Cricetulus griseus: one gene and its partner. The protein of the gene in region 1 interacts with the protein of each later gene in a biochemical or structural test. Links are inferred from orthologs where the notes say so. Each region holds a gene or a part of one and is shown in the gene's direction. Other genes may lie near its edges.

What was found.
Region 2: the proteins of Eya2 (region 1) and Six1 form a complex in vitro, tested with the Homo sapiens proteins (2 studies listed by IntAct, with this or other methods). The link is inferred for Cricetulus griseus from reciprocal best matches to the Homo sapiens genes EYA2 and SIX1.

Annotation. Positions count from the first base shown.
Region 1 is NC_048599.1:13,742,088-13,746,046, reverse strand, and holds the start of Eya2 (eyes absent homolog 2), read left to right. Parts: upstream 1-1,158; coding exon 1,159-1,267; intron 1,268-3,764; exon of another isoform or gene 3,765-3,890; intron 3,891-3,959. UniProt on the Homo sapiens protein: Functions both as protein phosphatase and as transcriptional coactivator for SIX1, and probably also for SIX2, SIX4 and SIX5.
Region 2 is NC_048598.1:130,342,224-130,346,414, forward strand, and holds the start of Six1 (homeobox protein SIX1), read left to right. Parts: upstream 1-1,388; 5' UTR 1,389-1,666; coding exon 1,667-2,226; intron 2,227-4,191. UniProt on the Homo sapiens protein: Transcription factor that is involved in the regulation of cell proliferation, apoptosis and embryonic development. Plays an important role in the development of several organs, including kidney, muscle and inner ear.

The DNA of each region.
Region 1 (3,959 bases):
TATCAGAACTAGAGAGAGTTGAATCCATGATGTTTCTGTGTTGGACCTGGTCCTGCCATGGTGTGTCCCATCAGTGTCGTGGTAACTGGCCATGCCCTGATGGCCTCAGCTTAAGAAATGTTCAGTAGGTGTTGCCTGTTACTGTTTGACGTGGCACTCAGTAATGAGTATTGTGAGTTAAGTCTAGGCCATTGAGCACGGCTACCCCGCATGCTGTGAACATTAGCTGGCAGCCCTGTTTCCCAGTCATAACATACAGGCACTTAGGAGCAACTACAGTTACAGCGCCAGCATGAGATGTGTCAATGAAAAATGAAACCCCATGACACCTTGTGTTCCCCCACGCACACACTCCCACCCCCAACCCTGTGACATGTCAAAATCTGGAGCAGTTCCAGCCTCAGAGCTTGCTTTCTTGGAAGGGGCAGCTGCTCTGGGCTGTGGGGCATACCACCTAGAGACACTCGGGTCCCAGGGATGGAACCCAAGGCCTCACATGTGTAAGGCAAGCACCTGCTCTCTAGACCTCTCTTTACTTTTCATTTTGCAGCACGGTCTCACAAAGTAGCCCAGGCTGGCCTTGAATGTGCTCTGTAGCCCAGGCTGGTATTGAACTTAGGATTCTTTTACTTCAGCATCTCGAGTAGCTAGGATTACAGAGGTATGGCACCAGGCCCCATCCTAGAGGCACTTGTGAAATTCTGTGACTGTCTTCTATGCCATTTTCCACCTGTACAAACAGCATACTGCCCACTTTGCTACCACAGCCAACTCTAAGTGCCCTTGCCCAGCTCCTCTAGTCTATGGGAGTTGAAATACCAATCCTTCCCCCTACCCTGTCACCCCTTCCTCTCCTGGGATGTCTCCCCAGTTCAAAGGCAATCCAGAAGAGAGACCAAAACACAATACCTCTAATGGGAAATTCCAAGCACAGGAGGGGTGTTTAGATGGAGTGGGCGTGCTCTCTAGGGGCAAGGACTTCATTTCCATTTTGACTAAAAGTTTGTGAATTTGTATTATATGGAATCTATTAGAAGGTTAGGAATAGGTAATCAGCTTTTAATATTTACATTCTTAGGGGGAAAAGATGATTCATTAGCAAACATGAATAATAATGAATAAATTAATTTCCCTTTGTCTCCACTCAGGTACAAGGCGATGTTAGAAGTGGTGATCTCACCCAGCCTCGCAGCAAGCAGTGACTGCAAGGAATCCCTGACGTGGAGTGAAGACAACGCCGCTGTGGGGGCTCTGAGTGACAGAGAAGGTAGGCCTCTGCAAAAACTTGACTGGACGAGTTAAGAGGGCCTTGTTCATTTGTGACAGGTAGAGGTTCCCATGGTACCATTCCCAGAACCTGACATTCCCACTGATGGTTCTAGAACAGAAGTTGGGTGCACATGGATCACAGTCTTGTCCATCATTCAAGGGACAGGTGTACTCGGTCTTGCCCTAGCTGCCCTTCTTGGTCTCTGGTTCCGAGAAACCCTGACATTTGCTATGAAGGACAGTCGCCCTGGGTGCATTCCTAACCCTACCAAAGGTATGACCTGTTGGGTCTTCATCTCTGTCCCTCAGCTCCCTCCTGCCATCACCTCTTCCCAGCAGGAGTCAGGTTCACAGGCTTCTGTGCCCAAGACGAGGCCTTGTCTGCTGTTGCTTTCAGGTTGGGTTGAAGTCAAGGAAGCAGAAGACAGTTAAAGCTGTTAGGAAATTATTGGCAAATGATGCTGCCAGACTAGTTTTCTCTAGAACAATCCAAGCTATTGTTTGCTCTGCTGGGATTGTCAGCCTTCCTGGTAGAGCCTGAGGTGAGCTGAAGGCATTAAGCTATCACACTGAAGCATTAGGCTTAACCCTTTCCCCAGCAGTGTGCCCAGGGATTCGCTGCCAGTGGTGTCTTCGGGTCCCCCTTGTTCTCTTTCATGGTCCCTGTGTGATGCCAGATCATCGGACAGGAATGTGACAGGACTGTCACAAGTAACCAAAAGGTCATGTGTCCAATGCAAAGCAACATCACAAGGAACTTTTTGAGAGAAAATCCAGGTTTCCCTGAGTAATTATTCTGTCACCAAGACGATGAATGGCATTGCCCTTGCATGCTGGTTATGACATTAGGCAACCCTGTTCAAAATCTTCACTGCAAGGGTGTGGGCTCTGAGACCAGGACTGGATGGTGGGAGGGAGGCACACCTGGCATCTACAAGCATCTGTGAAAATGACCCTCTGAAGGGTCAAAGACCTTCATAGTTTTCTCTCTGGGTAGATGCCCAGGCCAATTTCCTACTGTGTTTCCAAGTCAGCATGGCAAGGGTCTGGGCTGTGGGTGTGGGGCATCCAGGTCTGACTCCCAGCCCAGCCACTCCCCAGCCATGCAATCTTTCTAAGTCTTAGTTTCCAGCCCTGTTGAATGGGCTGTGCTAATGGACCACTCTGTAGAGTGCCGTACAAGGGATTAAATGAGGTTATGGTGTGTGGCAGGCCTGTCCCACCCCGGGGGCATGGTAAATGATTAAGTAGACCATTGTCACCCTCTGAGTCAAATAACCACAGGGATCAGAGGCAGGGTGGGAGTCTGGCCCTGGGCCAGTCCTTTGTTTGGCCTTAATGGTAAGTTGTACATAGTTGATGGCTTTGTGAAACATAGGGAGAGTGTACATCAAATCTACTTTCCCCTGACTCCTTCAGCTGCAAGAGGAACCTGGCAGCAGCAGAGAGGCAGTTGTCCCTTAGATAAGTCCCTGTCCCTCCCCTTCATCTTCAGTGTTCCTTAGAACTGACTCTGTGGCAGGCCCTTCCTCATCTCTGGTTCCAAGAAATGCTGACATTACCACAGAACAGGGTCATTTTGGGGTGCATTCCCAGCCAGGTCCTGTGAATCTGGCTTCCTCCTCTCCTCCTTCTCTTTCACTACCACAGCAAACATTTGGTGGTAATTTTGAACTGCGGGCTGAGGGTGTGGCTCAGTGGTAGAGCACCTACCTCAAGGTAAAGGGCTGGGAACATAGCTTGGCAGTATAGCATTTGCCTAGAGTCTACCAGTGACAACTCTGCATTCCTATATATGCATTTAAATCCCCTTCCTATTTAGTATACAGCTCAGTGCCTGGCTTATAGAAGACCTTAAAAAATACGGATGGATGAATAGGTGAGCAGGTGGGTGGGTGAGTATATGGGTGGACAGAGAGGCGGATAGAGAGATAGGTGGGTGGTGGGTAGATGAGTTCTTGGGTGGTTGGGTTGATATATGGGTGAGTGGTTGCATAGATGGGTAGGTGGTTGTGTGTTTTGAAGCATGGATGCAGATCTTGAGGGATGAGCTAATTTCAAGTCAATATTAGCTTTGAACCACAAATACAATTTTCTTAGCTTCCCCTGCCCAGGTTTGTTGCCTCCCTAAGGCTCAGGTCATGGCAACCTCCTCTTGGATTCTATTCTAGTTTCATCTCTGTTGCTCTGGTAAAAACACTCTGACCAAAGCGACTGAGGGGAGGAAAGAGCTTAATTGGCTTATACTTCTGGGTCTCAGTCCGCCATTGAGGAAAGTCAGGGCAATATCTCAGAGCAGAAACCACAGACGAATGCTGCTGTCTGGCTTCCTCCTAGACTCACGCTCAGCTAGCTTTACTATATTATATTCATTTATCACGTGAAAATTACATGGTGATTCGTATGTCTTGGTTTTCTCATTGCCTATTCTTTAAACTTATAAACCAACCAATCTCACCATCAACACCATGCTCCCTTCGAGCTATCTTGTGTGTTGTAGTCCTTCTTGTGTGTATCAAAACTCATTCTGAACTATGAGCTCTGGTTGTAAACGAAGACAGGCCCTTGCAGGCCTCGTCTCTGCTTTTGTGCACTAGTTGAACAAACCACACATGCATGCTACCAGCTAGCCTTCTTATACATTCCAGGACCACCTGCCTTGGGATGGTGACACCCACAGTGTGTTGGGC
Region 2 (4,191 bases), on another chromosome or scaffold:
GATAAGTATAGTCATAAAGTCACTCTCCTTCAACCGTTTGGCTTACCTTATCTCCACACATTGTTCTTATCTGCTGCCAGTCTTAGCTACTGACAATAGATTATCTTTATTTAGAGAAGCTAATTGTTTTCAAAATCTTTTTAATAATTGCTTTGGAACAAGGTGTGCAAATGAGGCTTAAGATAATTACAGCTTCATTTGTTTGTATAGTTTTACTAAGCATCCTCCACACAGAAACAAAATAGCAGATGATGGGACTTAAATTGCAGGACACCTCTGGTTCTCTGGCAGCAAAACAGGCTAGCATTGCAACACACACACACACACACACACACACACACTTTATTTAATCTTCTTGGAGCCACTGTGGTTCTAGCTTTGAGGGCAGTGTCCCTCTCAGAGCAGGGCAAGGATTATGTTACAGCGCGACGGTTATTGGAGCTGGGCACAGTTTTATTTAATTTACACCCCATCCAGAGCCTTTTGCATAAGGCTCCCAATACATTTTTGCTAATGGCAAGTAAAGCTTTTCGGCATTCATCGGTAACAGAGGTGGCGCTGGAAAAAAAAAAGCCACTGTGCAAATGGGAAAACTGAGTCCAGGAAATCAGTCGACTAAGTCAAGATACTAAACCGCAAATGAAGCACGGGTGTCTCTATCCAAACTCGGCTATTGTGCCAGGGCCAACAACCCTTCTCCAGATGCCACTTCTAGAGGCACTTTGAGAATAAGGGGAATGCTGCCCAGATCAGAGTACTTGCGCCCTTTTGGTTTAGGAAGGGAAAAGGGGGAGGGAATTAGGTTTGGCTCCCGGAGCTGAAGACAAACCTGGGAGAAGTCACTGAGTGCCTGCAGCACAGAACCCTAGTCTGCTGTTGTATTATTTATCGCGTTCCATAAGCTATTCATCAATCCATTATTTATTCATCTCAACATTAAGGTAATTAAATATGAGCTCACCGGGAAAAGCCAAGACTACAAGGGACAGGGATAGGAGTAAGGCGTAGAGGGTCATTAGAGAACGTCTGCAGTCATTGATTTGTGCAGAGATGAGCGAGGCTCCCCTTAGGTGACACCAAAGAGGGCGCCGCATTTCAAGGTCCGGACTTGCTCACCACCCTTTTCAGAGCCCTAGTTCCCTCCTCCCGACCCCACCCCACTTCCCACCTCTCCGGGTACTCCTCCTCCCAACACTCCTTATACTCTACTCCGCAGCAGCTTCTCCCTCCCCACGCGGGGCGGCTGGGCGGCGCGGCTTTGCTGCCTGGCCGGGCGGCGCGCAGGCTGGCCAGCTTCGGATAGGCGCCGCCTGCAGCCAATCAGCGTGCCGGGGACGCTGCGCGCTTTAAGGCCGCTGCGGGGAGAACAGAAACCAAGTTCCCCGGCAACCAACAGCATCCACCCGGCGGCAGGCGGGAGCCAGCGAGGCCCGGAAGGCTGCAGAGTGCTCCAGCCACTCGGAGTCTAGCGCGCCCTTGCTTCTCTCGGTCTTCCTACGCCTCCCACCCGCAAGGTCCGACTAGCCTCTTGGTTTGCGCCAAGCCTGGGAGGGGGTTAGGAGCAGCCGCGCCCCCACCCCTCCCCGCGGCAGCCGCTCCCCCCTGCTCTCTCAGATCCGCTCACTGCCGCGTGCGCCCGGGCCGGTGCGCCCCGGCAGCGCCAGCCATGTCGATGCTGCCGTCGTTTGGTTTTACGCAAGAGCAAGTGGCGTGCGTGTGCGAGGTTCTGCAGCAAGGCGGGAACCTGGAACGCCTGGGCAGGTTCTTGTGGTCTCTGCCAGCCTGCGATCACCTGCATAAGAACGAGAGCGTGCTCAAGGCCAAGGCGGTGGTCGCCTTCCACCGCGGCAACTTCCGCGAGCTCTACAAGATCCTGGAGAGCCACCAGTTCTCGCCTCACAACCACCCCAAACTGCAGCAACTGTGGCTGAAAGCGCACTACGTGGAGGCCGAGAAACTTCGAGGTCGACCTCTGGGTGCCGTGGGCAAATATCGCGTACGCCGAAAATTCCCGCTGCCGCGAACCATCTGGGATGGTGAGGAGACCAGTTACTGTTTCAAGGAGAAGTCGCGGGGCGTGCTGAGGGAGTGGTACGCACATAACCCCTACCCCTCGCCGCGGGAGAAGCGAGAGCTGGCCGAGGCCACCGGCCTCACCACTACCCAGGTCAGCAACTGGTTTAAGAACCGGAGGCAAAGAGACCGGGCTGCCGAGGCCAAGGAAAGGTACGCGGCGTGCTAGCCCAGACTTGGGCGACCCCGGGAAGTCTCACCCTTCATCCCTTTCGGCCCTTCCTTCCCCCCTTCCCTCAATCCCCGCAGGCATAGCTCCGGAGTCGGTACCCGCCGGCGGCGGGCAGAGGTCCGTGGGGCGGCGCCCCAATCTCCGTGACGCTGCAGTGAAAGTTCACGAACTCTCGAGGTTGCCTGCTAGGGACTGGGCCGCGTTTGCGTTGAGCACCCGCGCGTGGGTTTCTTTGGTGGGGAAAAGTGTTGGGAGCTGTTGGCTCTGCGTTTGTTGTTCCTGCCTTCCTGGCTGTCTGCGGTGAAAAGAGGGTGTCCAGGGAGTTTGTAGTTCGGAGGGAAGGGGTGTGTTGTTTGGTATATGCTTAGGAAGCCGGTTCATGCAGCGGAGGGTCTCGAACCTCCGCCCTTTCACCCGGGCTTGAAGCTTATCTGAGACATCCGCTCAGCCCCCAACGCCTCCGGGCTCTTTACTCGCTCTCTCTGGCTAGTATATGGATGAGAGTCCACTCCGCACCAGTTGGACAAAGGGAGGAGTCTAGTGGAGAAATACCCTGAAGAGAGAGCTCTGGGGGAGTCGCTACTGGGTGTCCTATCAGAGGCCCCAAGCCGGGAGAAGACTGCCGCCTGCCGCGCTCCCTCGTGCGTAGCCGGGTTGCTTTTTCTGGCCCCGCCGTCGCCGTGGGAGAGGAGTGGGGCTCCGGTCGCTGGCTTCTCCTGCTCTGGAGCTCCGAAGCAAAGCTTTGAGGCGGGGTGTGGGTGGGTGGGTGGGTGGGTGGAGGGGGTTGCTGTTTCTGCTTCCCCATCCTCGCGCAGACACGGCGGCGGCTAGGCCGGGGCGGTTCGCTGCCGAGCTTCTGGCCGATGTTTGGAGGCGAGCGGGGCAGAGGGCGGCGAGCGCAGCGCGGAGCAGAGCTGATAGTCTGGGGACCCGGGAGCAGGGCCCCGCAGGCTGTCCTTTGTTCGCTGGCACCCCGGGGGCCGAAGATCTAGTTTCCTTCTTCCTCTCCGGGTGGGAAACCACAGAGCTTCCCTAAATTCCGCCGAAAGGGGCTCTCCGACCTTGCGGGGAAGAGAGAGTGCAGACCGCCCGGCGCGCAGCGAGGGGCGGCAGCCGGCGCTCGGGAGGTGGAAGCCGCGAGCAGGGAAGTCCAGAAGTTGACTGGGACCTAGTGCGGGGACTGACTCGGCCGTGCGGGGCCCATCAGCGCCCAGCCGGGGTGGGGCGGCGAAGTTTTCCCTTCTGAGAAAGGGTGGGAGCCTATGGATTGTTGGCGAGCAGCTTGAGGCGAGGACAGGAGGAGCTGAGAAACGAACTAGGAGCAGCGAAACAGAGATTGCAAGGTTCCAGCTAGCCTTTAGTTTACAAAACGGCCGGTCTCTGAAGCCAAGCGAGGGCCCACTCCTGGATGAAATCCGAGAGACTGGCTAAGCTCCCTGTGTTTACTCAGGTCACTGGGCCGCTCTGGGCACGACTTCCCATGACCTGTCCTAGGTCTCTGAAACCCCAATCTCCAGACAGGGGCTGGGAAACTGGTCATCTAATTGCTTCCTCAGATGGTGGCAGGCCATTGACTTGGGTCACCGCAAGCATTTGTGCATTGGGCAGTTTGTCTCCCGATCATTTCTTTATCGCAGCAACCATTTGTCTGAGGGCTTCCAAACAGTTACTTGGGTGTACGGGGCTAGTTGACGGGTACTTAAACGTAGCTGCTGGGACAAAATTGAAAACACATTTTTGGGGGCTTATTTTAAATAAACACGGCTCATCCGACTTTGAGGAGTACGGAAGAAACGGGGCTATGTGCAGGCAGCAGGCTCCCCATTTCCCTAGTCGGCCTTTTCACCTCCCCCATGACCCTTGGGGATGGGTGGGAGGCAGAGATCCTCCATTTGGATTGGTGACAGATTGCACAACGGCCCTTTCCTCCTCCCAGCCCCCCCTCC